Linked DNA regions of Saccharomyces cerevisiae S288C. The gene in region 2 interacts genetically with the main gene of each other region. Each region holds a gene or a part of one and is shown on either strand. Other genes may lie near its edges.

Evidence for each region.
Region 1: mutations in ATG16 (region 2) and UBP14 together harm fitness more than expected from each alone (negative genetic interaction), as found in Saccharomyces cerevisiae (2 studies listed by BioGRID).
Region 3: mutations in ATG16 (region 2) and YTA6 together harm fitness more than expected from each alone (negative genetic interaction), as found in Saccharomyces cerevisiae (2 studies listed by BioGRID).
Region 4: mutations in ATG16 (region 2) and PMT3 together harm fitness more than expected from each alone (negative genetic interaction), as found in Saccharomyces cerevisiae (2 studies listed by BioGRID).

The regions. Positions count from the first base shown.
Region 1 is NC_001134.8:351,272-360,113, reverse strand, and holds UBP14 (ubiquitin-specific protease UBP14), read left to right. Parts: upstream 1-4,096; coding exon 4,097-6,442; downstream 6,443-8,842. Other genes in the region: serine/threonine protein kinase AKL1, read left to right, coding at 1-3,253; TSC3 (Tsc3p), read left to right, coding at 3,548-3,790; MUM2 (Mum2p), read left to right, coding at 6,821-7,921; MNC1 (Mnc1p), read right to left, coding at 8,659-8,842. UniProt on the Saccharomyces cerevisiae protein: Required for the adaptation to the presence of glucose in the growth medium; mediates the degradation of enzymes involved in gluconeogenesis when cells are shifted to glucose-containing medium.
Region 2 is NC_001145.3:573,925-581,062, reverse strand, and holds ATG16 (Atg16p), read left to right. Parts: upstream 1-6,134; coding exon 6,135-6,587; downstream 6,588-7,138. Other genes in the region: aminophospholipid-translocating P4-type ATPase DNF3, read left to right, coding at 1-2,112; type I HSP40 co-chaperone HLJ1, read right to left, coding at 2,671-3,345; CVM1 (Cvm1p), read right to left, coding at 3,547-5,997. UniProt on the Saccharomyces cerevisiae protein: Stabilizes the ATG5-ATG12 conjugate and mediates the formation of the 350 kDa complex, which is necessary for autophagy.
Region 3 is NC_001148.4:414,063-421,612, forward strand, and holds YTA6 (putative AAA family ATPase YTA6), read left to right. Parts: upstream 1-1,700; coding exon 1,701-3,965; downstream 3,966-7,550. Other genes in the region: transcription regulator GCR1, read left to right, coding at 1-1,300; putative ubiquitin-specific protease UBP16, read left to right, coding at 4,450-5,949; YPL071C (uncharacterized protein), read right to left, coding at 5,986-6,456; guanine nucleotide exchange factor MUK1, read left to right, coding at 6,886-7,550.
Region 4 is NC_001147.6:914,104-923,083, forward strand, and holds PMT3 (dolichyl-phosphate-mannose-protein mannosyltransferase PMT3), read left to right. Parts: upstream 1-1,926; coding exon 1,927-4,188; downstream 4,189-8,980. Other genes in the region: GNT1 (glucose N-acetyltransferase), read right to left, coding at 1-991; LDB19 (Ldb19p), read right to left, coding at 4,503-6,959; PRO2 (glutamate-5-semialdehyde dehydrogenase), read right to left, coding at 7,432-8,802. UniProt on the Saccharomyces cerevisiae protein: Protein O-mannosyltransferase involved in O-glycosylation which is essential for cell wall rigidity. Forms a heterodimeric complex with PMT5 and more rarely with PMT1 to transfer mannose from Dol-P-mannose to Ser or Thr residues on proteins.

The DNA.
Region 1 (8,842 bases), on a different chromosome or scaffold from region 2:
CCATATTGTCTGCGTAGGCACACATAAAGTTGAAGTGGTAAATTATTTAGCAGAAGGTGGCTTTGCTCAAATTTACGTGGTGAAATTCCTAGAGTATCTTAATGAATTTGATAATACAGCAAGTGTTCCCTTAAAGATTGGCGATGTCGCATGTCTGAAAAGAGTATTAGTTCAAGATGAGAATGGATTGAACGAGATGAGAAATGAAGTGGAGGTAATGAAGAAATTGAAAGGGGCCCCAAATATAGTACAATACTTCGATTCCAACGCCTCTCGCCGTCGTGATGGCGTTCAAGGATTTGAGGTTCTTTTGCTAATGGAATTGTGTCCAAACAAATCTTTGCTAGATTATATGAACCAACGATTGTCAACGAAACTGACAGAAGCTGAAATTGTGAAAATTATGTATGACGTTGCTCTTTCTATCTCTCAAATGCACTACCTTCCTGTGTCCTTGATCCATCGCGATATCAAGATTGAAAATGTCTTGGTAGATGCCAAAAACAATTTCAAGCTAGCTGATTTTGGGTCCACGTCGACATGTTTCCCAATTGTCACTACTCATCAAGATATTGCTCTTTTGACTCAAAACATCTATGTGCATACTACTCCGCAGTATAGGTCCCCTGAAATGATTGACCTTTACAGATGTCTGCCCATTAACGAAAAATCAGACATATGGGCTTTGGGAGTTTTCCTTTACAAATTATTATTTTTCACCACCCCTTTTGAAATGACAGGTCAATTTGCTATATTACATTCCAAATATGAATTTCCTGTCAACAAATATTCATCAAAACTAATCAACTTAATCATTATCATGTTGGCGGAAAACCCAAATTTGAGACCGAACATTTATCAAGTATTATACCATTTATGTGAGATTTTAAATGTGGAAGTTCCAATCGAGGATAAGTATGCGGAAGGTGCCTATAATTTTTCTAAATATACGCAGTTTCAGAATAAATTACAAAATGTTCAATTGCAAATGTACCAGCTACAACAAAAGAAAATTATGCAGAACAATAAATTGAGTGACTCAGAAGAAAACTTACTGAATGACATGTTTCTTTCTTCTTTTGAAATCTCATCCAAACTTCCCATGAACGCTAGTGACGGTCATGCCGCTGTTTCTAGAATACCATCTCAAAATGTCGGCCAAGAACTTGAAGAAGAGAAAGAAAGTCAATCCGATCAGAGGAAGTCTACCCTGTCCGAAGATAAATCGTCAAGAACAACATCGAATGCTAACAGTTCTGGTACAGCCAATAATCCTCAAGAAATCAATACAATCCAGTCTCCAGGTATAGAGGACAAATCAATTTTTGAAAATAAAACTCCTGGAGAGTTATATTATCCAAGCGTGAGCGAATTAGATACTTATTTGGACAAAGAATTGGTCAAACAATCAAGTGATCCGACTATTTCTGAACAAAGTCCTCGTTTGAATACCCAATCACTACCACAGAGGCAAAAGAGCACAAGCTCTTATTCTTCAGGTGGCAGATCAATGAAGAGCACATCATATGGTGCAGCAACGATCGGGTCAGACGAAGCCTTGGCGAACGAGAAAACTGCTGGTATTAATAAGATGAAACAACATAAATCGAATAATCCCTTTCCAAAAATGAATGTTGCATACCATTCTACGAATGAATTGAGCAATGACGCAAGTAACTTTTTCCTGGAAGAACAACAGCAAGGCCAGAGATATCAGCAAGCTCAAAATCAAACAGGTACACAAGGGAATACCTTTCCAGATGAATCTCAGTATCAATCTAGAGTTGAACAACAGCAGCAACAACAGGACCAACCCAAAGGACCTGCTAATTATAGCCAAAGAAATTTCTACACTGGGAGGGATCGGTCCAATAAACCTATGCAGTTGGGTGGAACTATTGCTGGAGATAGTGGTAATAGAAGAGTCAACTTTCAGAATATTTCTCAAAATTACGCCACGAACTCCCAGTCAGGATATCTCCCAAGTCAAAATTCCCCAGCAATTCCAATGGTGAGACCTGTTATTTCCATGAATCAGCAGCAAGCGCAACAGATACAAGCCCAGCAATTGCAGGCACAACAGATGCAGGCAAAGCAACAGATGCAAGCCAAGCAGCAGATGCAAGTTCAGCAACAACTGCAAGTCCAACAGCAAATGCAAATTCAAAATGCAAATAATAATGGTACTTACGTCTCTGATAGAACAAATCATACCACAGAAGATATGAGAAATGCTCAGGGGGGTGAACCTCCAATTCTTGCAGGAAATTCTGCAAATGAACCAATGCACTCATCCTCTAAAAATGAAGCTCTCTTAATTGAACTATCTCCATTAAAAGAAGATGCAGGAAAGCAATCTTTCCAAGATACAAATGAGCCTCAAACTGGCGGTATCGAAGATGCCGGCGGTTCAGGAACTATCAAAGGCTCGAACAATAATCGAAATGGCGTTTTAAATTTAAGTTTGAATGAGATGGACTTATCAAGAGATGATACTGGTGCTGCTGTCTCCTCCTTTTCATCGTCTTCATCGTCTGCATCAATTCAACAAGCTAAGCTTTCTGGACGCAAAGGTTCCAGTAAGAGGAACAATTATTCAACAGACGAATTGGGAGATAGTATGGTCTCCAGCGAAAGCATTGATATTGATTTGGATGATGCAAGGAGAGGAAAAACAGCTGAAAGAAGACCACTCCATAATGAAAGAGGTCATAAAGACCAGGCAAGATCAAGTGATGCTAGTAAGTCTAATCAATTCAAAAGCAAGGACTTCAGCAGCGTATCAACAAGGCAACCGCGGCAGTCATTGGATCTGAATTTCCAGGAAGTAAATCTGTCTTCACCAACGTTAACTCAAGAGCATAGAAATAAAAACGACTCGCCAGCACCAAATTCACATCACTCGTATAGAGTTTCACCTCATGCTTCCACCGCAATAACTGAGAATAAGCGCCACAGTACTGGTCACGAACTGTCAACCCGGTCAAATGGCAAGCATGAAACACACAGGACTGGTTCCAAGCAAAGGCACGATTTGGAAAGATACCGGCATTCGAAGGATAAGGATAGCAATAGCAGCATTACTATTAGCACCTCAACTCCATCAGAGATGAGAAAATCCTTCGCTAGGGCCCGTCAATCGCTTGATTTGGAAAGGGTCCGTCGTGAAGCGATGGCAAGTAGTGCATCCAGTAGTGGTGGCAGTAACGGGAAAAGGAGATCTTTTTTCTCAGTCTTTAGAAGCGAGAAATGATTCGATAAATAGAGCACATATAAAATCATATACATACATTGTTACATATAGAGGCGCAGACAATCCGTATATCTTCCTCAAAAACTAAATTGATAGAACAATAGTAACTCAAATCATATGCATTAAGCATATCGTGCGAGATGACGTTTACTCCTGACGCGCTTAACGAGAAGCGGTTAAGTGAAGAGTAATAGTGCTCGCAATTTGACAGAAATGACACCATTTTAAAAGTACTAGAGATAAAGAGTGTAGAAACCGGAAGAACAAAGGTGGAACATATCATAAGGGGAAGAAATGACACAACATAAAAGCTCGATGGTGTACATACCCACCACTAAGGAAGCTAAAAGACGTAATGGGAAATCAGAAGGCATACTAAATACTATTGAAGAAGTGGTGGAAAAGCTTTATTGGACCTACTACATACATTTACCCTTTTATTTAATGGCCTCTTTTGATTCATTCTTCCTCCATGTTTTTTTTCTCACAATTTTCAGTTTGAGTTTCTTCGGTATACTAAAGTATTGCTTCCTTTGAATGATTATTTATATCCTTATTCGGTTAATAATAGTATAAGCTGGAGGCAAGGGGACAGAAAATTTAGGAGGATATCATGGAGGATAGAGTTACATAAATATACACACAATACATAAACTAATAATTGCTTGTGGCTATAGGATATAATTTATAACAGTTGATGTGCCTTTGAAAAATGACATCGTTTGGAATGAGATCAAATTTATCACTTGATGAAATCACAGTGAAAAGCGACTTGCAATGGCAGTAGAGATGACAGGTAAATTCATCCAAAAAGAGAGCCCGAAGTCTTTCTCACATTCAGAAATGGCAGAAGCAGTACTAGAAAACGTTAACGTTCCTGCAGTCGTTTCAAAAGATGAGTGTATTTATTGCTTTGAATCCCCTTATAATGAACCATTGGCCCTCAATGCATCACCTAAACATTCATTGAATATATGCTTAAACTGTTTCCAAGCTACGTGCAACAGACATGTTCCACTCCATATCCGAGTCACAGAATATGCTTGCGATACCATACATTCCAATTATTTAACTATTGCTAAAGTGGAGAAACCTAAGCAAGAAAATGTAGAAGAAAATAATAACAACAAAAAAATAAAGCTACAGGTAATTGAGACGTCAGAAGACGACACCCACAACACTATTTGGAGTTTACAAAGGTTCAATGGTGAAAATGTTCCCAGGACCGTACTTTCGAAGTCGACAGACTCTGACATTTCTTCTACGGCCTTGGAGAAGATTGAAAAGATATTAAAGGCGAAGTCACAAGACTTCGAGGATAAGAAGAACTCCTGGGTGTTAGAAATCAGCACCTGTCCACATACAGAAAACTTTCAAATTCCATCTAAGCCCGAAAATACTGTGAATTTAAACCAATGCTCTTCCTGTGATTTGACTCAAAATCTCTGGTTATGCCTACATTGTGGTAATATCGGATGTGGCAGGGAACAAATCGGGATTGATGGTCACTCGCATGCTTTGGATCATTATCGGAGTAATAATAATCACCCATTAGCTATCAAATTAGGGTCTTTAAGCTCTTCAACCTATGATCTGTATTGTTACGCATGTGACGACGAAACTAGATTTCCAGATAATGTTAATTTAGGCAGTGCACTACAAATATACGGAATTAACATACAAGAAAAGATTGCGGATGAAAAGACTCTAGTTCAATTACAAGTGGAACAGAACGAAAATTGGCAATTTAGAATGGTCGATTCTAGCGGTAAAGAATTTGAAAAATTATCCGCTAGTAAGAATTATGGCTGTGGTCTGATCAATTTGGGTAATTCCTGTTACTTAAATTCGGTTATACAAAGCTTGGTGAATGGTGGCGTCCCGAATTGGTCCTTGGATTTTCTAGGAAGTAAATTTCCACTGGATGTTGTATATCCGGACAATAATTTAAAGTGCCAATGGATCAAGCTACTCAATGCCATGAAATGTGAACCCGAACTATATCCAAATGGTATCAAACCTACTACTTTCAAGAAATGCATTGGGCAAAATCATCAGGAATTCAGTTCCAATAGACAACAGGATGCGATGGAATTTCTAACCTTCCTTTTAGACTTGTTAGACAAGAAATTTTTTTCAAGTAGTTCTTCAGGTATTCCAAATCCCAACGATTTAGTTAGATTTATGATGGAGGATAGGCTCCAATGTAACATTTGCGGGAAGGTTAAATATTCTTATGAACCCACAGAGGCTATACAGATTCCCTTAGAGGAGAATGATGAACCTCAAGATATGTTAGAGAGAATCAAGGCGTATTTTGAAGGGCAGACGATTGAATTTAAATGTGCTAATTGTAAGGAAAAGGTTACCGCAAATAAAAAACCTGGTTTCAAATCTCTTCCTCAAACACTTATTTTGAACCCAATAAGGATTAGATTACAGAACTGGATTCCTGTTAAGACAAGTAATGAGCTTTCTTTACCAGGTTTAATAGACAGGGATGATATGCTAGATGTTTCGTCTTATTTATCACAAGGATTTGATCCTCAAACTGAAAACTTATTGCCTGATGAGGACGAAAACCGTAGCTCTTTTACGCCAAACCAATGCAGTATTTCTCAATTAATTGAAATGGGCTTTACTCAAAATGCTAGCGTGCGCGCCCTATTTAACACCGGAAACCAAGACGCTGAGAGCGCTATGAATTGGCTATTCCAGCATATGGATGACCCTGATTTAAATGATCCCTTTGTCCCGCCTCCTAATGTCCCCAAGAAAGATAAGAGAGAAGTGGATGAGGTATCATTGACTTCAATGTTATCCATGGGACTAAATCCCAACTTATGTCGTAAAGCCTTGATACTCAACAACGGAGATGTTAATCGTAGTGTTGAATGGGTATTTAACAACATGGATGATGATGGAACATTTCCCGAACCTGAAGTGCCAAATGAAGAACAGCAACAAAAAAAGGATCTTGGATATTCGACCGCTAAACCGTACGCTTTAACTGCAGTTATTTGTCATAAGGGAAATTCTGTCCATTCTGGTCACTATGTTGTTTTTATTCGTAAACTAGTGGCAGACAAATGGAAGTGGGTTCTTTATAACGATGAGAAACTAGTTGCTGCCGACAGCATTGAAGATATGAAAAAAAATGGTTATATTTATTTCTATACAAGATGCTAAAAGAACGTTTACACACACACACACACACACACACACATATATATATATATATATATATATATATATATATATATATTTTGCATTATATGTGTATGATCAAATCTATCGAGTTAAATATTTCTACATATTTCAGTAATAAATCCATTTCCATTAGCTATTTTGCAATGTTTTTTCTTTTTTTTTTTTGCTGCTGTTACCTTCGCCGCTAAAAAATCATTTAAAACAAGAAAAGAGTACATTGTTTGATGAAACAACAAGCAAGAAATGTAAACGATAGTCAAACTTAGTAAGAAGAGAATCAGCTGGCTTGGTACTTGATCTTTTGATTTGACCTCATTCTTTTTGCATACACGGCTCGTTTGGAATACTGTTGTAAAAATGAATTACATGGCTTATGATTATGATCCCCAACATTCGTTGGAAACGTCCTTTAACAATTTGGCATTTCATCCCCACCAACAGTCACAGCAACAAGCCCTATACGAATCTGGTGAAAGAAACGATGCCAGGCCGGGATTAATGAACACCTTAGGTCAGGCGAGTAAAATGAATAATTCCATGCTTCCTCAAGGTTCGTCGGCTAGTCCCTTAACGGGTCAACATAGCTTGAACAGTACAACAAATTTCAACATGCCCCCATCAATGAATACCTATAATTACCAGAATGTACCACAAGCATCTATGAGAAATACTCTCAATCATAACAATATCATGAATGGGGCAACTGCTAATGATTATTGGCTGGATCCAATGAATAATATGACAAATAACAAGGATACTAATGGGAATCCTAATGACTCGATGTCATCAATGTCTAATATGACCGCTAAAACCTCAATCAATAGTACGGCATTCAAGAATTCATTTGTTCCTTTTAATCATGTGACAGCGCTCTCAATGAATAATGTCAACAGCAATGAGATGAATTCAAATAAAGATGACAGAATGGAAGCATTGGAAGTAGAACTACAAATAAAGGAAAGTCAAATCGAATCACTCGAGAACGAAATTCAAAGGCTAAAGAAAATTTTCAACGAGGGGCTAAACTACAAGCAGAATGAGCATAAGTATGAGAAGGAAAACTGCCATATACCCCAAACTTTCGAATTGCCAGCTTCCTTGGAAGTGATATTCAGAAAACTGTCATCGTCACTGCATGCAAAGGAAAAGGAGTTAGCAGAGACGAAAGAAAATCTGGAAAGTATATTAACTGCACTGGCGCTAAATCCAACAAATTCAGTGACTAAGTATGGCAGGTATGATGCAGAATCGATTGCTCACAAAATGGTGGTAAGATTAGAAAACTTAACAAACGAGAACAAAGAAATGGCCAAGATGTTAGCATATGGCAGATCAAAAGAGACCCAAATTGAACTGCAGTTGGCCAAAAAAGAAAATCTAGAATTAAGAGAAAAAATCGCATCTTTGGAAGCCCATTTGGCTTCAAAGGAGTCTTCAAAGGAGGACGTTGCTAATTGAAAGAGGTTTACTCATTATCGAGAACATATGGCTAATTCTAAAAAACGAAAAAGAATAATATGCAAATATATAGATATGTGTATATGATACAAGCTTTTTTCATGAAAAATAAACGGAAGAGAATTTTTGCTTTTGTCCTACACGAGGAATGTATCAAAGACTATTACTTTTTTAAGTATGTTGTCTTAGATGGCTGAGTTTTATGCTTTTTCCAAAAAGAGCAACGTAGCTGTTATTTATTTACTTAGTTATTACCTCCAGATAACGTGTCTAATCTCTTACCTCTATTTATAAAAATTATTCATTAAAATACTATTGAAAATTGGAGTATATACTTACAAACGTATATATTTTTTTAGAAGCATCAAGGCAAGATCAAAGCTATGCCGCTTTGTTCCTGATGTTCTCCATTTTTTGCTGGCTTCATTAACAAAGACGTACTTTTAATCCTAGAGGTTCATAAAAGTGAACAATCAGTGTGAACTTTTATGGATATTACATAATACATTTAACGGCATTCCATTTAACAATAAAATTCAAATGTGCTCAGCTGTGATTCATTGAAATGATAGGATACATATTATTCGTTATGCCACTCGCAAACGTACAGCGGAAAATTTTGTGTGTGTAAATTATCTTGATGGTAACCACCGGAAACAATATAGGAAGACTACTCCACGAAGAAAAGCGTTCATGATGATACAAGGCAAACCACAGCTTACAAGGCAAACCACAGCTTACATGCCGCCAGCGCAGCTACAACATAGATCAATTAGACACAGACAACATAAAACGTTCGCAATTGCTGAACAGCAATCGCCACAGTTACAACAACAACAACAATCATTTCTTGGTGGCGGCGGCCCTTGTTGTATGTATATAGGTTGCGGTTGTGGTTGATAATACATCGGTTGTGGTTGA
Region 2 (7,138 bases):
AATAAAAGCAGGAAGTCACTCCATAAGCAACAAATAGAAAAATATGGGCCGCGAATTTCGATAGATGGAACACATTTTCCGAACAACAATGTCCCAATAGACACAAGAAAAGAAGGACTACAGCATGATTACGATACAGAAATTTTGGAGCACATTGGAAGCGATGAGTTAATTTTGAATGAAGAGTATGTTATTGAAAGAACTTTGCAAGCCATCGATGAGTTTTCGACTGAAGGCTTAAGAACTCTGGTCTATGCTTACAAATGGATCGATATTGGGCAGTATGAAAATTGGAATAAACGCTATCACCAAGCCAAAACCTCCCTTACTGATAGAAAAATCAAAGTCGATGAGGCAGGTGCAGAAATCGAGGATGGTTTAAATCTGTTAGGGGTAACTGCAATCGAAGACAAGTTACAAGACGGCGTTTCAGAAGCTATAGAAAAGATCAGAAGAGCCGGTATAAAAATGTGGATGCTAACAGGGGATAAAAGGGAAACGGCTATAAATATAGGGTATTCGTGTATGTTAATCAAAGATTATTCTACGGTAGTCATTTTAACTACTACTGATGAAAATATTATATCAAAGATGAATGCGGTTTCTCAAGAAGTTGATTCCGGAAACATAGCACACTGCGTTGTTGTAATTGACGGTGCCACGATGGCCATGTTTGAAGGAAATCCTACATACATGTCTGTATTTGTTGAGCTTTGCACTAAAACAGACTCGGTAATATGTTGCCGTGCTTCACCTTCTCAAAAAGCCCTTATGGTTTCCAACATAAGAAATACCGATCCAAACTTAGTCACGTTGGCAATAGGTGATGGTGCGAATGATATTGCCATGATACAATCTGCCGATATAGGTGTTGGAATAGCCGGTAAGGAGGGATTGCAAGCATCTAGAGTATCTGATTATTCTATTGGCCAATTTCGGTTTCTCTTGAAATTGTTATTTGTTCATGGGCGTTATAACTATATTCGCACCTCCAAGTTTATGCTTTGCACGTTTTACAAAGAAATTACGTTTTACTTTACGCAGTTGATATATCAAAGATATACAATGTTTTCAGGCTCCTCTCTATATGAGCCATGGTCATTGTCCATGTTCAATACTCTATTCACATCACTACCGGTTCTATGTATTGGTATGTTTGAGAAAGACTTGAAACCAATGACTCTACTAACAGTCCCTGAATTATATTCGTACGGGCGCCTTTCACAAGGTTTTAATTGGTTAATATTCATGGAGTGGGTTATCTTGGCAACTACGAATTCTCTTATCATTACATTTTTAAATGTTGTAATGTGGGGTATGAGTTCTCTTTCAGATAACACTATGTATCCTCTAGGTCTCATCAATTTCACAGCCATTGTTGCCTTAATTAACGTTAAATCCCAATTTGTTGAAATGCACAATAGGAATTGGCTGGCTTTTACTTCTGTAGTTCTATCCTGTGGAGGTTGGTTAGTGTGGTGTTGTGCCCTTCCTATTTTGAATAATACTGACCAAATATATGATGTAGCATATGGCTTTTACAATCATTTTGGTAAAGACATTACATTCTGGTGTACTAGCTTGGTGTTGGCACTGTTACCTATCACTTTAGATATAGTTTACAAAACATTCAAAGTTATGATATGGCCATCAGATTCTGATATTTTTGCTGAGCTGGAACAAAAAAGTGATATCAGAAAGAAGCTGGAACTAGGAGCCTATAGCGAAATGAGGCAAGGATGGACGTGGGATAAAGATCCCAGTACTTTCACAAGGTACACAGACAAAGTTCTTTCAAGGCCAAGAACTAATTCACGTGCAAGTGCAAAAACTCATAACAGCAGCATATATTCAATGTCAAATGGGAATGTAGACCATTCCTCAAAAAAAAATTTCTTTGGAAACTCTTCTAAAAAGAGCTCTGAACGATACGAGGTATTACCTAGTGGCAAGTTAATCAAGCGACCATCCTTGAAAACACAAAGCAGTAAAGACAGTATTGGCGGCAATATAACTACTAAACTGACGAAGAAACTGAAGCTTCCATCGAGGAATGTGGAAGATGAAGATGTGAACCAGATTATTCAGGCAAGGCTAAAGGATCTGGAGTAATTCTCGTGATCTTGTTTAATTACATTATTGAGAACATTTTTATATATATACCTTTTATTGGAAATTAGTAGCGAGCTTAGAAGACTTACTTGATTTGTTGAGTCGAATATTATTTCGGCATCCACACATTAGAAAATTAACAAGATGTATTTTGAGAGAAAGCAAGGCACAACGCATGGGAAATCTTCACAAATTTTAAATACTATCTATAAACTAACTCTAATTATAAAAGTGGCTTGATTACTTTCGGTGTCAAAAGAAAAAGTAAATGTATGGCGTAAATGCTATGATTAGTTATCAGAAAATAAAGATGTTTATAAGTATTATACTGTCTGATTTAATTTCCTCGATATATTAAAATTCTAATACCATTATGTCCTTCTGGTAAACTGTGGAACAAAATAAAACATAGCCAGGAAGCCTGAAGGAATGACCTAAATGTCATCTAGTATACAAATGCGTTTTTTCAATTTTGCTTGCTCCTTGTAGTTTTATTTTATAGTACAACTTTGACTAACGTTGGAAAATAATAAAAAAATGACAGTAAAAATATTGTGTTTAACTAAACAGGTAATCTTTAATCATAGGAAGAACAATAAAGATGATGAAAAGAACGAGCATATTTTTTAATTGCGAATTCACTGCATTTTCTTCTGCTTGTTGTTGCTGCTGTCTTGAGCGGGGTTGTTGACGCATGAACGGTGAGCCACCACGATTATTAGTATAAACTCTGAAACCACCGGGGCCTCCAAATGAAAAAGTGGAAGCAGAAGGCCCAAATGGTGAAGCGCCGAATGGGCTGCCGCCTGCGTTGAACAAAAAGTCGAATATGTCCTCTGGTGGTCCAGCTCTTTGACCACCGAAACGTGAATTGAAAAACATGTCTTCAAATCCGCCACCCATTGGAGACCCACCTGCACTTCCTCGGAACCCTGAAGCAGCACCTCTGGATGGCATTTGTCTATCGTCAGGATCCCTACCTATCCTGTCATAAATACTGCGCTTTTCCTCATTGCTTAGTACTTCAAATGCCCTATTAATTACTTTGAAAGCTTCTCCCGCTTTTGGATGAGAGTTTTTATCAGGATGCAATTTGATTGCTAGTTTTCTGTATGCCTTCTTGATCTCACTATCTGTGGCTTTCCTATCTACCTTCAAAATTTCGTAAAACTCATGCTTGTCTTTTGACAGTATTTCTAGCGCGATTTTTTCTTGATCCTCAGTGAAAGACATGTTCTTCCTATTATAGACCTTCCACAAGTTATATTGCAGAAACAGCGTTGCTGCTATTATGGCTTCTGGAAGTAGAGGTGTATGAAAAGAACTTCTGCCAGCTTCCTTTATGTTCTTCACGAATACTTTCCAGCCTACTCTGCGGGTTACCCACTATACAAATACCATAATATGTTACGCGGTCCGCTATATACGAATCTACTATGTACGTCGAACATCATTAATCAAGTTTTTGGGGTTGTCATACATGGCTAAAACGCTCAGGATATCACGTAGGTGTTTCAAACCCCTTGTTGGTGGAGACCAATCCTGGTAAGTTCGCCAAATCTCTGTTAATCTTCTCAAAGCTTCCACGGTGTCCCTCTGAAAAACAGGGCCAGAAGTACTCGTGGTACTATCCAAGAAGCAGTTTAATGAGATGGAGAGCCTCAACGCATGTGGTATCTCTCGCTGCGGTAAATTTTTCAATTGAATCAATTTGGAGAAGGAATCATGAATTTTCCATACCAAATCATATTGATTGACAGTATTCAATATGCTTGTAGGAGTGTCGAGGTCGATGTTTAAACGTAAATGCTTACGACTTAATGGGTTTTTCGTGAATATTGTATTGTACAGAAAGCATTTATAGACTTTATCGTCATCATAAATGTCTGAATATATCCTTACGAAATCCGAAGATTTTTCGTTTTGATACTGCACAAACTGCAAAAAATCCTTTACCGTAGAAATATTCTCTGGCAATAATGATTCCGATGATGAACCGAGACTTTCACCCTCCCTTTGGTCGTAATTGAGTTGATGACCATTCATTTTCCACTTACTGTCCATTTCTTGAAGCCAGATTTTGTTGCTGTTCTGGTACTGTTTCCTAATATTTGGAGGCAATGTGTAATCATTAAATGACCTTGAAATAAAAAAAGGACTTAGTAAATTAATTATGGGAATAAATTGTTTATATCCTAAATTCTCCGTTATCATCAAAATATCCCATAAGGTTATTTCGAAAAGTCTGTTGGTGGGAATCTTCAATCTCGATTCAAAATTAGGGGTCCTTACATGGACGTCATTAATGTTACTAGTTGCTTCATCATCGGTATCAAGGTTTAAATTATTAGCATTCTTTAAATCAATGCCCATGTACTTCCCATTGCACCATAAATTTCTCAAGATTTTAGGGTGATTATAATCTATAGCAAGTTTTTCTGAAATTGTCATAAAATTATCATAAAGCTTACCAAAAAATGTCAGTCGAAACGTATCCCAATTGAACAAGAGCCAATCCAATGCATCCTGAACTAGTTTAGATTCACTAGAATCTATCCGCCTATAATTTTTGATTTTAGATAATGTGTCTTGTTGCTTTTTGTCAATGCCCTGAAATAACTGTTTTTCTTTGATTTGTTGGCTCTTCGTTGTGAAATCATTATTTGAATCATGATCATTACTATCATTTTCGTTAGTACTGGAATTGGAACCCAAGTTATTATAACTATTGCTAGTAAAGTCAGTGCTGTGGTCCCAAAATCGATAGCCTTGTAAACATGACTGGAAACTCAATACACTCACTGTAGTGTTTTCATCAAACTCTAGAACTTCATTATTTTGCACGATATATTTCGCTAATAGCAAAGTTAAGGGAACGCTGTGATAAACGCCCACAAAAAAAATTGAATCTACCTCTTTGAAAAGATGAGCCCAGTGGTTCAGTAACTCTACACATTCTTTATATGTAGGTATTAAATCTTGATTATGCAGTGGGCACTGGAACGATAGGGTCAAGACTCTTTGAGGTTGTTCTTGCGCTAGATTTTGTGACAATTTTCTAGAAAGATAATAAGCCGATCTTTGTGATTCTAATGAGCGCTGCTCATACTTTTCTGGTAAATCCCCCACGACGGATATTATAATAATTCTCTTATCCTTCAGTAATGCGGTTTTTTTTTGTCTTAAATAGAGATGTTGCTCATTAGGGAAGTTATAGTAATTTTTGATAGTATTCAATACCTTAGTTCTTAGTGGTTGGACGTGCAGAAAATTCAAAGGGTTATCTGATGGTAGGATTAAAGAATCATTAATAAATACATTATACCCAGGGTTACCTCCCTCCCCAGGATATTTGTTTAATGGCAATGGGCATTTGGCTGATCCTGTACCAGAGACACTGATTATTCCTGGGGTATCTATGGAATCAATTATGTTTGATGAATTTGATATATGTGGAATTGCTTCGTACCAACACCATGATTTCGACTTTTTTGAAATTATATCCTTAGCCTCATTTTCCAAGAAGTTGATTTGTTCAGTGTTTAGTTGAGAGTAGCGGGTATTATCATCAACAACAATTGGGGCACTTCTATATCTGGATGTTGCAAAAGAAGCGATTTTAGACCATATCCCTTTATTGTCATTATTCGAGTTCACGCTATCTTGAAAATCCGTTGTCGGACTACTCCTTCCTTGTCCATTAGGATATTCTGCAATTCTTCCCGTGTTTGGCTCATCGTCGGCAGTGGAATTCCACCAGGGTTTCCATCTGTTTTGTTGTCGTGGACGTTGGGGTGGGACTTCCTGCTGGTCCTCTCGTATCTGCTGCTGCTCTTGTGTTTGATGCTGCAACTGTTTATCCTGTTTCTGCTGCACAACATCCATTATAATAGCGTTTTATATGTTGTGCTAAATTGCTACTACACTTGCTCGCTTTTACTTATTCTGTTTGTAGTTGACCTTTATTTAACGTTGATTTTTGTTATTAACCTGCGCGAATCTGTATTAAGGGCGCATATTCCATGGGCAATTTCATTATAACAGAAAGGAAGAAAGCAAAGGAGGAAAGAAGCAATCCACAAACAGATAGCATGGATGATTTGTTAATTCGTAGACTAACAGATCGAAACGACAAGGAGGCCCATTTAAATGAGTTGTTTCAAGATAATAGTGGCGCCATTGGTGGCAACATTGTCAGCCATGACGATGCTTTATTGAATACACTGGCAATTCTACAAAAAGAACTGAAAAGTAAGGAGCAAGAAATACGAAGATTGAAAGAAGTTATTGCGTTGAAAAATAAGAATACGGAAAGGTTGAATGACGAATTGATTAGTGGAACCATTGAAAATAATGTTTTACAACAAAAACTCTCGGATCTGAAAAAAGAACATTCCCAGCTAGTTGCGAGATGGCTAAAAAAGACAGAGAAAGAGACAGAAGCCATGAACAGCGAAATAGATGGAACGAAATGATGCATCAGTTGTCAAATCGTCACAAAATGCATACAAAAGAAAATAAAATCATTGTGGTGCATATACATGGACAGAATATGAAACGCCAAAGTGTTTGCAATAAAGAGGTGAAAATATGTTAAACATGCTATAGAGAGTACACCTGCAAGTTAAGAAAATGCCATTCGTGTTTTTATCTACTATAATGTAATGTGACAGCTGTTTTAAACCTTTCTTAAGGTCGTTTGTGCGAGAACAGGCTTTTTTTTTGGAGAATGTATCTTGAGAGAAACTCAATAGTAATAACTGGATGCATAAAGAAAATTTCATATGAATCACTACAAATCTTTGGCGTTAGAATTCTATTGGGTAAATTGAACTTTGTAGCTTTTTGATGGTAAACTTGGCGGTTTTGCGCGACCCATGATCCTAAGAAACCCGCAGTTTCTATTAGGATTCACGATGGTCTTTATCTCACCTTCTATTATGTGTAAGTTGAAATGCCCCTTGCTGTTCTTATAGCAGAAAGCTTTTTTTTTCATTTATAGGACTAGCATTTTGGCATTGGAAGG
Region 3 (7,550 bases), on a different chromosome or scaffold from region 2:
ACAAGCCCAAACACATCAAAGGGGTCCGAAAGGACAATCACATGCACAGGTTCAAAGTACTAATAGCCCTGCGCTAGCGCCAATTAACATGTTCCCGAGCTTAAGTAATTCTATACAGCCGATGCTTGGCACCTTGGCTCCGCAACCGCAAGATATAGTACAGAAGAGGAAGCTACCGTTACCAGGTTCAATAGCCTCTGCAGCAACAGGCAGTCCTTTTTCTCCATCACCCGTTGGTGAGTCTCCCTATAGCAAACGCTTTAAACTAGACGATAAACCAACTCCGTCTCAGACGGCTCTTGATTCCTTACTTACAAAATCCATTTCAAGCCCTAGATTACCCCTTTCGACGTTGGCTAACACAGCTGTCACGGAATCTTTTCGCTCACCTCAGCAGTTTCAGCATTCTCCAGATTTTGTAGTTGGTGGTAGCTCAAGTTCAACAACGGAAAATAACTCTAAGAAGGTAAATGAAGATTCTCCATCATCTTCTTCAAAACTAGCTGAACGACCTCGTCTTCCAAACAACGACTCCACTACTAGCATGCCTGAAAGTCCCACCGAGGTAGCTGGTGATGATGTTGATAGGGAGAAACCGCCAGAGTCAAGTAAGTCGGAGCCCAATGATAACAGCCCAGAATCGAAAGATCCTGAGAAAAATGGTAAAAACAGTAATCCGCTTGGTACGGATGCTGACAAACCAGTACCAATTTCTAATATTCATAATTCTACTGAGGCTGCAAATTCAAGTGGTACAGTGACAAAGACAGCTCCATCATTTCCGCAGAGTTCTTCTAAGTTTGAAATTATAAATAAAAAGGATACGAAGGCGGGGCCAAACGAGGCAATCAAATACAAGCTGTCCAGAGAAAATAAAACAATATGGGACCTATATGCGGAGTGGTATATTGGTCTGAACGGTAAATCTTCAATAAAAAAATTGATTGAAAATTATGGCTGGCGAAGGTGGAAGGTTAGCGAAGATTCACATTTTTTTCCTACTAGAAGAATTATTATGGATTATATTGAAACGGAATGTGATCGTGGCATAAAACTCGGCAGGTTTACTAATCCTCAACAACCGAGGGAGGATATACGGAAGATTTTAGTAGGGGACCTAGAAAAGTTCAGGATAAATAACGGTCTGACTCTGAATTCTCTATCATTGTACTTTAGAAATTTAACGAAAAATAACAAGGAAATTTGTATTTTTGAAAACTTTAAAAATTGGAACGTTAGATCAATGACAGAAGAAGAGAAATTAAAGTATTGCAAAAGGCGACATAATACACCATCTTAAGTTTATTGAGGTTGTCCGCGACAATAGTTCCTTCAACAAAATAACGAAGCGACGATAACGAGAAATGTCATTAGGTTATTACTACCTTTATAGAAAATATATATACTTATTTAATATTTATATAGATTTATGTGTGTACATACCTATGCGGATGTATGCCTATGTGGGAATTCCTAAATGTCTTTCCATCAACGACTAAATATATATTCTCATGACTGACTATATGGGTTACGAAAACTTAATTTTTTTGTCAAAGACCCTGGCGAATTGAGAAAACCCGCTGGATAGATGGGCTATCCGAAATTTTGAAAGATGGAAAAAACATTAATCTCATTAGCAAAAGAGGTAAGACCCTGGGTGAAGAAAAGTCCGAGGAGGGAACACAAAAAAGTCTAGGATAATGGCACATGAAAAGTTTAGTATACCTGAGAACTTCACATTAGCGCAGTCTTTGCAATTGCTTTACTCTGTTGTCAAAAATCAATATAAAAACCTAGCAGACCTAATAATCAATAGCAAAGGTAATAAGGACACAGTAACGTATGGGAAAATCCACAAAAACTTAGACACTTTACTGGTATACGTCAATGAAGGTCTACGAAAAATTGAAAAGACTTATACCTTAAAGAAAGGGTTAGGAAATCTTGTAGTTGATCATCCTGAATTGAGGAGCATCATTGAGGATTTCCAAATTCTTGGCCAGGATATAAGGATCGCACGTCGTAAAGCAGAAACGCTTATGGCCGAAGGAAACGGTAGTCCCTCTTTGTCATCCTCCTCTTCCGTTTTGGGCCTTGGGACAGGAAATGGTTTGCGTTTTCCAAAACTTTGGAGAATGGGTTCCAAAAGAGATAAATTGAAAGAAGCTGACGAAAAGGAGGCTAAAATCAACAAACAGGCTGATAATATCAGACGTGCTAGGAAATTAGAAGAAGAGAAAAAGTTAGGAGCAAAACTTCAGTATGAGAGGGACTTAGAACTTCAAAGGGAAAAATTGATCGAGTTAAAGGTTAAAGAAAAGGTCGAATTTGAAGTGGCCCAAAAGTTGGAGGAGGAGAGAGTTAAGAGAGAGGAAGAAGAACGCAAACATAGAGAACAAGCGGAGAAAAAACGTATATCAACCCTGAAACATGAGAGGAAAACAAATTACAAATCAAGGGCTAGCCTCGACAACTTCTCTTCCAGTAGCAAATCTTCTGGAAAGATTGACAACTCCCTAATTAAAAGAAGATCACTTGACGTTGTACGGACTTCAGGCGAAAGAGTACGAACGCCAGTAAGAAAATCAATGGAGGCAGCAGAAATAGGTATGGCTGCGCAGTTAGCCTGGTCTCAGTATCAAAACGGGGCAAATCATTCAAAAGTGAGTAACAACGGATCGCATTCAAATGAACTTCAGATACGTTATAAGCCAACACCACCTTTGAAAAAAAGGTATGACTACAAAAAGCCAACAGTTAATCGACCGATTATAAAATCACCTACTCTTAACAGGCAAAACAGCAAGTCTTCACGGAATATACCCACAAATAGCAAGCTGAAGGCTAGTAAATCCAATACTAACAAAGTTTCTCGTAGGAATGAGCAAAATTTGGAGCCTAGTTCACCAGTACTCGTTTCAGCGACAGCGGTACCTGCTGAATCCAAACCCATGCGTTCTAAAAGTGGTACACCCGATAAGGAAAGCTCTGCTAGTTCATCCCTCGATTCCAGAAAGGAGGATATATTAAAATCAGTGCAGGGAGTAGATCGAAACGCTTGTGAACAGATACTTAATGAAATTCTTGTTACGGATGAAAAAGTTTATTGGGAGGATATCGCAGGCTTACGGAATGCGAAGAATTCTTTGAAAGAAGCAGTGGTTTACCCATTTCTGCGGCCTGACTTATTCAAAGGGCTAAGAGAACCTGTTAGAGGTATGCTTTTGTTCGGCCCACCAGGTACAGGTAAGACAATGATTGCTAAGGCGGTTGCGACAGAGTCCAATTCCACATTTTTTAGTGTAAGTGCATCTTCTTTGCTATCGAAATACCTCGGTGAATCTGAGAAGCTGGTTAGAGCATTGTTTTACATGGCCAAAAAATTGTCACCCTCAATTATTTTCATAGATGAGATTGACTCTATGTTAACAGCTCGCTCTGATAATGAAAATGAGTCCTCGAGGAGAATTAAAACAGAACTTCTTATTCAGTGGTCCTCCCTATCTAGTGCTACTGCACAATCGGAAGACCGAAATAATACGCTTGACAGCAGAGTACTTGTCTTAGGAGCAACGAATTTGCCATGGGCGATTGATGATGCAGCAAGAAGACGATTTTCACGGAAACTATACATTCCTTTACCAGATTATGAAACTAGACTATATCATTTGAAGAGATTAATGGCCAAGCAGAAAAATAGCCTGCAAGATTTAGACTATGAATTAATAACAGAAATGACCGAGGGGTTTTCTGGTTCTGATCTTACGTCATTAGCCAAAGAAGCGGCAATGGAACCTATTAGAGATTTAGGAGATAAGTTGATGTTTGCGGATTTTGATAAAATCAGAGGAATTGAAATAAAAGATTTTCAGAATGCTCTGTTGACAATAAAAAAGAGCGTGTCGTCAGAATCTCTACAAAAATATGAGGAGTGGTCTAGTAAATTCGGTAGTAATGGTTCCTGAACGAGAGGGAGCGTCTTAATGGCAAAGAAAGGTATGAGAAGGAATTTTCCCCTTTCAACTTCTTGCTTCTGATCTAATTTTATTACCTATGTACTTTCTATGTATTATCAAAGAAAAACTAACTTCGGTTCCCTTATGATTTGATATTTTTCTTTCTTATTTACAATTAGTTTTCTCAGAACGATATTCAATACAGTTCTCCGGATTTTTGCTTACTATATTGGCCCCAAAAAAATGAAATAAAAAAAGAAAACAAAATAATATACTTGGGTGAAATAAAAAAAATAAATCAATAGCACCCAGTTAACCTAGATTCAAAGTTTCTTCTTCAATCTCAATTTATATACACGTTTGAGTTAATGGGAAAGCAAAGTCCAGCTATAAAACACTTGACCGTTAGCGCCATACCCTCCAACAACTAATTGGACCTTCTCCTTCTGCCCAAACAGTATATGCAAGGTACAGCAGTTACTACAAGCACAATATGTCTTGGATAAAAAATGTAACAGAATCTCCGACTTCACTGATTAAAAAAGTTTCATGTGGTTTGATAATTGCTGCTTCTCTATATGCCATTGCACCCAGCCTAAGTGCGCTAGTCTTTGGGGATTCTAAGCAGAGTATTGGGAAGTACACGACAGTGGGCTTAATTAATCGTGGGAATGATTGCTTCATAACATCATCTTTGCAAGGCCTGGCTGGAATACCTCGATTTGTAGAATATTTGAAACGGATAAGAACGGTCCTTCTAGAATTAGAAACTAAGCTGTCAAATAATGCAAAAGGCGACAATCCTACAGTTGATAACACTACAAGGCATAGTCGACTTGAAAACTCGTCTAATTCACTTGCCCCCTTACACGAAAGTCTTACCAGTTTAATTTTGGATTTGATATCTGTAAAAGATCGTAAGACGTCAATTTCTCCGAAAATAGTGATAAACACATTAGAGTCCATCTTTAAATCAAAGATCTCATCCAAACAAAATGATGCACATGAATTTACATTAATATTACTACAAACATTACAGGAAGAACGATCAAAATTGATCGATTACAGTAAACAGATATGTAATTTGAATATACCAAAGTTTCCATTTGAGGGCGAGACTTCCAAGTTTCTAGTATGCCTTAAATGCAAGGGTCTATCAGAACCATCATACAAACAGACTTTCATCCGCGAACTGTCCGTACCACAACAAACATCAGAGAATCTATCCAATATTCTAGCACACGATGAAACAGAAATCATAGACGACTATTCATGCCTGATCTGCCAAATAAGAGCAATCTTAAACCATGAAGAATATAGAAATTTCAAGGACTGTACCCCGGATGAAATTTTAATGTTGGACAGATTGAAAAATTATGCCACTAAAGCCCCAATTAACGAAAATTTACCATTCGAAGTAGAACAGTACGTCAAGCGTTACTCAAAGGGCAATTTGCAGGTATCTAATATAAAGGGAAAGGTCATCAAAAAAGATGTAGTAGTACAACTGCCAGACATATTAATTGTTCACTTATCGAGATCCACATTCAATGGTATTACATATTCTAGAAATCCCTGCAATGTCAAATTTGGAGAAAGAATAACACTTTCTGAATATACATTGGCTGAGAGTGGGACAATAACAGAAAACAGGCAAGTCAAATATAATTTGAAAAGTGTTGTGAAACACACCGGTTCTCATTCGAGTGGACACTATATGTGTTACAGACGCAAGACTGAAATTCGTTTCGGGAAGGAGGATGAATCTTCCTTCAGAAGAGCACCAGTTGTCAACAATGAAGTTAACAAGAATCGCGAGCAAAACGTTGCACATAATGATTACAAAAAAAGCAGATATAAAAAAGTCAAAAACGCCCTGCGGTATCCTTATTGGCAAATATCTGATACCGCCATAAAGGAATCTACCGCTTCAACTGTCTTGAATGAACAGAAATATGCTTATATGCTATACTACGAACGTGTAAATAAATAACCGCCCTGTACATAGGTATATTATAATAATAGTAAGTTACGCATCCATATCCACATCAGTATCCACTGCCATCATTTCAACATCGGTATCAGCCTCTCCATCATAAGTGTATTTCGAAGTCATTTGATTATGGAACCACTTCCACCAGCTTAGATAAGCAATTTCCTTATAATCTACCCATTTTATTATTTGTAGCCTTTTTTCTCTCAAACGTTCCCATATTTTGTCATAAAACAAGTCATTGTCGCCGCGTTTACTTGTGGAACACTTGATGATCTCTTTCAGGACCTTATCATCAATAGCGTCTGTGAATACTATATTGTTATGAATAAGATTGTTATCATCTGCATGTCCGTTCTTGGGCCCTTTATCATTTAAGGATAAATTCTCTAAATCTATAATTAGTCTTTTTCTTTTATAATTATCAATTCCTATTGGGTCTGGAGAATGATTTCTTTTCCTAATGTGGTTGGGATTGCCATTACTTCTTGCAAACCGGGAACTCATGGAATGAAAAAGTCATTTAAACGTGCCACTAGTTTTACTATCTGCTAATCGTTCTAGACGTGTAATATAAATCATATCCGAGCGCCGTTGTTGAATAATTTAATGCCTTCGTATTACATACATTTTGAAATTTGCTTTCGTAAAAGAGCGGTTCCCGGATAAAAAAGTGTGCAAATAACCGAGCCTTATTTGATTTCCAGTAAAGACCCAACCAAACGCATCATTGAAGCAAAAATAGATTAAAACTTACTGTTGTTCGTCTATTGAATTTTGTTCGGATTGGTGTGGTGTTTAATATCTTGGGCAGAAAGAGAATTGGCTTTATAGACACTCATAAAATCATCATTCCCCTTAGAGCAAAAGGTATTTTTAGAAGCCAAGAAGAAGAGCAGATAAAAAAGAAGTACGCCCTCTAACAATAAAAGTCAAATGGCTAGACAATTATTCACTCCTCCGATAACCAATCCAAGGTTTGACCCTAATCAATCCATCAGGGAATCATACAAGAACACAACTGGCGGCATGCAATTTCAACAAAATCTACATGAGGATCAAAATGACAATGAGAGAAGTAGCTGTGATGGTGATGAAAACTCTACAACAGGAGAAAGGCTAGAAAACAATAAGTCTCCTATATTGACAAAACAAGAAATTGACGAAGCGTTGAACACTGTCACCAATTTACCTCCAGAATTATCAAAATTAATTGACATTTTTATTGATGACCTAAAGCAGCCAAAGTACGTACGGCCACTATCAGTACTGCAATTGTCTAGTCTTTTCCAAAGCTTTTACATAAAATTTGATAAAGCATCATTCCAGCACGTCAGTTCAGCGAATAATAATGGCTATTATTTTTCTGGCGGGGGCTCTAGTTCATTCTTGGCTGCCAAAGAAACGTTAAGTAGTGGTCTTAGCGGAATTTTTGGCAGAAGTAGGAGTAGTAGTGGAAATTCACTTATGAGGCCAAGAAGATCTTCATCGCTTTTCAGTAATGAGTCAATATCAAATTCAACTAATGCCACACAAATGTTGTCACCTGAAGAGATAAAAAAGCAATTGAAAATCAACGAATTAAACAACATGAAAATCGA
Region 4 (8,980 bases), on a different chromosome or scaffold from region 2:
CAATTTCATCAAACGCCTCCTTTGAAGGATTAATAACCATTAAATTAGAAGCAAATTTTAATTTTCCAACCTTTTTACTACTTTGGAAATCAAATAACGGCGATAAAGATGATGTAGAACTTATAATGTCCTGAGCTATGTTATTAGAATTCAAGTACAATGAATGCGGCAAACTCGGCAAATGATTATAAATCATCTGACCTTTCCCAATTCTTTTAGTCAGCACTTTTGTATACGACTGGAGGTTGATTGGTTGCTTTTCACGGTGTCGCGTTTCATGGTATGATTTTTCCAAATCACTGTTAGATAAAAACCAGTATGTTAATGGAGCTGCAAATTTGATATAATTTGGTAGGAAAAATAATTCGTCCAAGCTTGATCTTAAAATTGCGTCGTTGTCAAGATAAATCACACGGTCAAATTCTGTTTGGTTAAATACTAGTAATTTTGTTAAACTTTCATTCCAAGGTGTAGTATCCTTTGGCTTCACAATGTTATCTATCAACTTGATAACTACCTGGTCCTCATCTATAGCTTGAATCTTGTTAAGGAGTGAACTAATGTAAGCCACATTTGAGGAAGTGTTTGGGTCTAGCAGATCTTTAGATATCAGAAGAACTAACTTGGCCTTTGTCTCAAACTCCTGTTTCAGATCATTGAATATGATCAGCGTATTACAAAGATAATCAGCATTAGTCACATAATTCACGTATGCAAACTTGGACCACTCGATGACCTCACCGTTTTTCAACTCTTTATCTAAACGGGCGGTATATAAGTCATCTATCGTTTCCTTGGGTATTTGCTTGATTTCTAATGGGTTGTAAATTTCGTGAAGCCCATCCTTCCTCTGTTGAAAATACTTTTTATAGAACTTTATTTCTTGGTTATACTGAAAATGAACAACAAGTCTTGATACTACGAATACAGTGAGGACGCCGAACAAAATAAACACAATAAATCTGATTCTTCTTTTGGATATCAACCTCATAATTGGAATGATAGTTCCGAAGTATACAGTTTAGCAAATAATGTCACAATGTTGTCCACAAGTGGTCGGTATTTGTTTCCCGGTGATTTCGACTAATCCACCAGCCTGATACAGTACGATCATCACTAATGAACGAGAACCGAGCACTAGTTTATAGTGTACCAGATGCTAGTTTTGCTCAAACGGTCGCGTGCTGAGCGGAACGAGAGAGTATACAAGTGATATTTTAAAAAGCCCTACATTTTATCAAAACCCTAAACGCCAATGTTGAGCAACCCTAAAACGTTGATGGCGGCTATTTTTCCAATTTTTAAGTATCATAAGCATATTCTCCAAATGAATGGATCTTACCAATGAATACCAATGCAATAAACTTTTGAAAATGCTTCTGGAATAAATGTAATAATTCTGGTACGGTTGCCGGATGTTACTAAAAAAGTAAGTAATCTGTTTACTTGAACTTCCTCATAACTAAGGAATACAAACGTTTACTGCGGCTTAAAAATTCAACAGGTTTACTCTCCTAAGTAGTATTCTCTTAATTTCTGCCTTGTTAAGAGAATACTTCCCTTTTCTGTAAGTATGTTACATTTCTTTATAGTAATCATCCTAGAGGCATTACAGCTAAAAGGAACCTGTCCCGGGTTAGTATTCCAGATGACTTGACGAATGTTTGCGTTAACGAAAATGGATATGTAAAGAATGAATGAGTTACCACCCTGTAAGAACTCGTTTAAGAACAAAGCTCAGATCTAGATTAGGCACTCGCGCCCTTTAATTGAAAATCGCGACGCGAGGAAAGGCAAATATAATAGGCCACCTGGCCGGTGTACAATAGAAAATCTCTAAAGAAGGGCATTCCAACTCTTCCTTTCGACATAAGAGTAAAACAAATATTTGTGTGCTCCAAATACCGGCAAATAAAATAACAGACAATGCCGTACAGAGTGGCGACGGGCTACAGTGAAAAAAGTACTGACGATGATTTGATATGGAGAACGCCAATAGTAAAAGAGGAACTCGAGGATGCTGACAACTTTTTAAAGGATGATGCCGAGTTGTATGATAAAGTCAAGAACGAGAGTGCAGTATCACACCTGGATACCATAGTTATGCCGATCATTTTCACGGTACTGGGCATGTTCACTAGAATGTACAAGATTGGTCGTAATAATCATGTGGTCTGGGATGAAGCTCATTTTGGTAAGTTCGGCTCTTACTATCTGAGACACGAATTTTACCATGATGTTCATCCACCTTTAGGTAAAATGCTTGTTGGACTGTCTGGTTATTTGGCTGGCTACAATGGTTCTTGGGACTTCCCATCTGGTGAGGTTTATCCCGACTATATCGATTATGTGAAAATGAGGTTATTTCAAGCAATGTTTTCATCATTGTGTGTGCCACTAGCCTATTTCACAGGAAGGGCTATCGGATTTTCTAGGCTGAGTGTTTGGCTATTTACCATTCTAGTAATTTTTGAGAATTCGTATGCAACATTAGGCAAGTTCATTCTCCTTGATTCAATGCTACTTTTCTTTACCGTCTCTTCTTACTTTTGCCTTGCCAAGTTCCATACTATGAGAAAGTCTCCCTTTTCGGCTAGGTGGTGGCTATGGTTGTGCCTCACTGGGTTGAATTTGGGTTGCGCTATATCTGTGAAAATGGTAGGTCTTTTCATCATCAGTGTAGTAGGAATTTACACCATCAGTGAACTATGGAATCTCCTAAGTGATAGATCGGTGTCTTGGAAGGTTTATGTCAACCATTGGCTAGCAAGAATATTCGGGCTTATCATCATTCCTGTTTGCGTTTTTTTGTTATGCTTCAAAATCCATTTTGATCTGCTGTCCAACTCAGGGCCCGGCGACTCTACCATGCCATCATTATTTCAAGCCAGTCTGAACGGTACAAAAGTTGGTAAGGGACCACGTGATGTTGCTTTGGGTTCTTCTATTATTTCCATCAAAAATCAAGCGTTGGGAGGCGCTTTATTACATTCTCATGTCCAACCATTCCCAGAAGGTTCTGAGCAACAGCAAGTAACTGTCTATGGTTACAGTGATGCTAACAATGAATGGTTTTTTCAAAGAATCAGAGGAGTAGAGCCTTGGACTGATGCTGAGAACAAGACAATTGAGTTTGTAAAGGGTGGCGAAATGTATAGATTAATGCATCGCCTAACAGGCAAGAATCTACACACCCATGAAGTCCCAGCGCCTATATCGAAAAGTGAATATGAAGTTTCTGCTTACGGAGATGTAGACTTAGGTGACTACAAAGATAACTGGATTATAGAAATCGTGGAACAAGTAGGGGAAGAAGATCCAACACTACTACACCCGCTATCCACATCTTTCCGTATTAAAAATTCTATACTGGGTTGCTATTTAGCTCAGTCAGGTAAACATTTACCAGAATGGGGTTTCAGGCAAGGTGAAGTTGTCTGTTTAAAACACGCCTCCAAAAGGGATAAGAGAACCTGGTGGAATATCGAAACACATGAAAATGAAAGATTGCCACAGGGAGAAGATTTCGTATATCCGAAGACTTCATTCTTCAGGAATTTCATGCAGTTAAATTCAGCAATGATGGCAACCAATAATGCTTTGGTACCAAACCCTGAAAAGTTTGATGGTATAGCTTCATCTGCCTGGCAATGGCCAACCTTGAACGTCGGGGTAAGATTATGCGAATGGAGTGAAAAATCTATAAAGTACTTCTTATTAGGATCTCCTGCGTCCGTCTGGCCCTCAAGCATCGCAGTTTGCGCACTGATAATACACGTTATATTCTTAACTCTGAAATGGCAGAGACAATGTGTTATCCTATCCGATCCAGTCGAACGTGACGTGTTCGTTATGGCAGCCTTTTATCCATTGCTTGCTTGGCTTTTACATTATATGCCATTCGTAGTGATGTCAAGAGTTGTATACGCTCACCACTATCTGCCCACCCTTTATTTTGCCTTAATGATCTTGTCATACTACTTCGATATGATTACCAAACGTTGGGCTACAAGAAACACTGGAAAATTTCTAAGGCTAGGAGCTTATATTGTATACGGATCAATCGTGATCGCTGGATTTTTTTATTTCTCTCCTTTTAGTTTTGGGATGGATGGTCCAGTAGATGATTACGCGTACTTGGCATGGCTACCTACGTGGCAGATTGTTGAAGATATACGTAACACATAGATATATAGAATGATCAAAAACTTTTCTTCACCACACAAAAAATGTTAATTGATGCGCGAAATATCTTTTTCGACTTATGCCTTCTTCTTTATCATAACAAAGCTATGTACCTACGACGAAATGAAGATATTAATCCAGTCCAGCCTTAAGAAAATACGAGAAAAAAAATGCTCAAGTGTTAAACAATGCCTGTATGTAGTTATCTGTGAAATGCATCAAATCATGGTCAGGGTTTGCTTATTGATCAGATTTGTAGTTTTCAGGTATCTAAGATAAAAATATATGGTAAATACCTTTAACGAATATTATAAAATCTACTGGGTTATTCTATTGGAATCTAGAAAATCGGAAAAGTTTTGTATTCTGATATCTCTTGTGCTATGTGGTGTCAACACATGTCCACGAAAAGGTACACTACCCTGGACACTAACAACACTTTCCAGTGGTGGTGACTGTACTGTGGTAAGGGATCTTTGCGAAGAGGAAGCAGGCTGGTAGTGATGTGCGGTTGGTGGTATCGTTAATTTATTTTGTGTGATCGTTACTTCCTGTACGTTAGGACCAGGTTCGAGCCCTTGGCTCTCATAGTTCCCAATATCTTCATCGCTGCCGCCCACAAAATCATCCTCTGATCTAACAGGAGTACTCATTGTTGAATAAAGTTTATTTTTGATTCCATTATTTATAGAGAGCTCGTAACATGGTGGCGAGAGCAACTCGACATCTTGGTAAATGGGAGGAACTTCTTCGTCCCAGGAGATTCCAAGTCCAGATCTTTCAGTGACTGTTAATCTGAATTGCATTCTTAAAACACGTGCTGCACCAGTGGGAACACTCACTATATTAGAGTTACTAGCACCGTTAGATGCCTTCTCCTTATTAGTACTATGGTTGGACTTATTACTATTCACCGGTGTTATATCTTCAGGCCCCATGCGCCGTACTTTCGGTGTATTTCTATTTGCAAAAATTGGAGATAATTCAGCTAAGCGTTGATCAGGATTATGAACATTCATCGTATTGTTATTAGTTTCTTTCTTGTTTTTGGAGTTTGGTTTCCGTATAGGTTGCCCATTGGCATATTGCAATGTTTCTTCTGCAACAACTATTTCCACTGCCAAGATGTGGCTTACATACAAACCTAAATTTGGATCCTGTATATCGCAAGCCACATTGATGCTGGGCTTCTTATTGCCCGTGGAAGGAGTTTGTAGTGTCGATGCATGCATTACCGGATTAGAGACGCCTGAATTAAGTCCCATACAATCTATTTCTGTAACTAGCTCAATCTTTCCATTATTGTCAAAATCGGTTTTCCATCCACTCTTCATTTCTCCCTTAGATATTATCCGAACCTCTTCCGTAAATAAACTACTGTTGTTTTTTAGCTCTTGTTGAAGTTGTTGTTGTCTTGCGCGTTGTTGCTGCATTAGTAACTCCTGACGCAAAGCGTCGTCACTGGGATGGATGAATTCGCTACCGGGTTGGTCTTCCTCATCTTCATTAACAGGATTTTCATCATCAAGTCCAACATTACCAGTTGACGCTGGACCCGAAGAATTAGGTGCTTGTTCACGACCGGGCTCGCCTGGAAGCCTTTGCGACGGCATATTTTCTAAAGAGTTTACTGCAACCCGGATTTGTGGGCCTAGTTCACCATAACGCTTAATATGACTGCGTGGCTTTTTACTTTTTTCTGACTCTTTTATTTTAACCTGCTCTTCTAACTGCCTCAATTCATGCTTGTGCACTGGACAAGCATGTGCTTTAACTCTTGTAGTTTCTTCAATTCTCCAACTCAATTTACGCATTCGCCATCTCCTATCCCCCGAAGAAACACCGTCTAATTTCATCTCCAAAGGAAAAGTAGATTTAGGATATACAACATTAGGAAGAACAGCAGCAGCAGTTAACTCTGTAGGAGGAAATACTCTTAGAGAATTCTTATCAGGCCCGCGCGGTATACTTCGAGTCACGGCGATGGGCATCGCTAGTTGCAACAACCGCTTCTTAGAAGAGCTTCCTTCTTTCCTGGGAGTAGAATGACCGGAAGAAAAGGAATTTCTATGAGGATCTATATACGTCACAACAGCGATAAGTTCGTATTTGACCTGGGTTTCAGCCGTAGCACCTAGCGATGAAGAACATGGGACAGACCCCGGTATAAGATAGGAAAATGGGTAAGAGTGGCTTCCAACAGAAAGATCCTGGGTATTACTCTGAATTTCCCAGCTTTTCATGTTTGTAATCTTTGTTTTACAGTTCATACAGGTTTGCATTGAGGAAATATTAGGCACAAAGGGTTTATGGAAATGGATCTTCTGTACCAAACTTAGTGTTACCGACGTAATGGTGATCTTGGTATAACCAGCCATTATTCTTAAATTAGCAGGCGTGGGAGAATGCGATATGGATGTAGAAGATGTTGAAGGAGAGATATTTGACGTCGACGCTGACAAGCTGGACAATCTAGATGAAAGTGCAGAACCAAATGTACTCTTTCTTTTTAGGCTTTTAGAAGTAGTCGACACATTAGATTCTGTATTCTTTAAAGATTTATCTTCAGCACTACTGTAGGGATCGACAACCGTCACAGTAAAAAGTCCACTTAGCACAGCACCTGAGGATTCCATAGCAGACCCATAAAGAACACATGGCGGTGATTCTACATCAATAGAAAGGGTTAGTGGAAGACTTTGTCCTTTTTTGTTGCTATTACTGTAGCCGTTATGATTGGACTGATGAGTAGATGTAAGACGTGAAAATGCCATGGTAAAACGTATTGTTTAGTGAAATGTATACTAAGTAGGAGTAAAAATCAGCAATTTCTGGTGTTGAAATGTGAACAACAGCGTTCTCCTCCGAAAAAGCAAGCTATAACGTTGCTCAACTTTTGATTCCGAAATCAGAAGCTTAAATAAGGAAAACTGAAAGCTAATTGGATGAAGCACACAAACTTAATCAACCTTATTATTCAAAGTATTCGGAGCCCTAGTAAAAACTGCCTATGATATGTATGAGTCGTGCTTTTCCGTCTGGTTTAATAAGTGTTCGAGTCAGCTCAAATCGCATTTTTGTCTTGAAGCTTCCGCCAAAAGAAAAAAAAAGTCGTTAATAGCGATACAAGTAAGCAATTAACTATCACACCATAGAATGAGTTGACAAGAGTACTTATTTGATGGCTTTACTGAACTATGTATACACGTCCTTCATACATGGAACTTAGCTTTATCCTAAAAATTTTTATAATGTCACAGTCTTTATATCTAAATCCTTGTGAACAAAAGCTTTGTTACCACCAGCACCAAGGTAGTCACTAGCAACCTGGCCGTCACCTCTTATTTGGTATTGATAACTCACCAGACCGTCCAAGCCAACTGGACCACGGGCGTGAATCTTAGAGGTAGAAATACCCACTTCAGCACCAAAACCGTACCTGAAACCATCGGCAAATCTAGTTGATGCATTCCAGTAAACACCAGAGGAGTCGACACCCTTCATAAATTTTTCAGCGTTTGCTTTATTTTCCGTTACAATAGCGTCGGTATGTCTCGAAGAGTGTGTATTTATATGTTGAATGGCCGATTCTGTAGATGTAACAAACTTGGCAGCCAAATCCAAGGATAAAAATTCCTTATCAAAATCTTGCTCCTCATCAGCATCAACGGTTTTGCATTGAATTGCTTCTGTCAATTTCCCTAACTCATTCAGTTTATCAAAATACGCAGTTTTCAAATCTTTTGTAGCGTGGATAGTCACTCCGCCTTCCAAAGTTAAGTTTTCCAGAACTTCCCACCACTTAGAGAATTTTGGGTTAATCAACAACGTTTCCATAGCGTTGCAACCAGCTGGGTAGTTAGTCTTTGCATCCAAACTAATTCTTTTTGCCTTAATCAAATCTGCGTCTTCATCCAAGTAAATTGAGCAGATACCATCCGCATGACCCAACACGGGAATTTTTGTAGTGTCCTTGATTTTTCTGACTAAGGCATTGGAACCACGAGGAACAACTAAGTCGATGTACTCATCTTGATCCAACAAGTCGGAAACATCCTGTCTGGTTTCGATCAATTGCACAGAGCCCACAGGAACACCAGTCTCACTTTGGAATTGTGCAATGGTGTCGTTAACGATCTTTGCCATTTCTCTGAACGTGTTCACAGACTCTTTACCACCCTTCAAAATTGCAGCATTACCAGACTTGATACTCAATGCGGTAATATTGGCAATAACTTCTGGACGGGATTCAAAGATAACTAACAAAACGCCGACTGGAGCGGTTACTTGGTACAACGTCAAGCCATCATCTAATTCCCTGGCCATTTTAACCTTGCCAACAGGGTCTTCTAGTTCGGCTACATCCTTAATACCTTGTAACATAACTTCAAATTTGTCCCCTTTAAATAGGTCGAGACGTTTCAATAAAGAATCCGCTAGGCCAGTCTCTTTGGCAACAGCTAAATCGATTTTATTCGCTTCTTCAATGGCATGCGCATTAGCCTTCAGGGCATCGTGAATTTTGTATAAAATATCTGATCTGCCCTCGTTTGAGATGGTTTTCAAAATATTCCCTGCTTTACGGGCATTTTTGGCTATTTGTTGTGAACTGGACATCTTTATATTGGTTGCCTGTGCTCCTTTTTGTTCTTACTCTTTTTACCAATACGCTTTTACTTTTTCTCTTCTTTTCTTGAAGCTTTTTGAAAAACGTCTGTCGACTTTTTTCATTTTTTGACTCATTGACCCAACGCCACAAATGAACAAAGAAATTTGGCCACTGCATCGCCTTTCC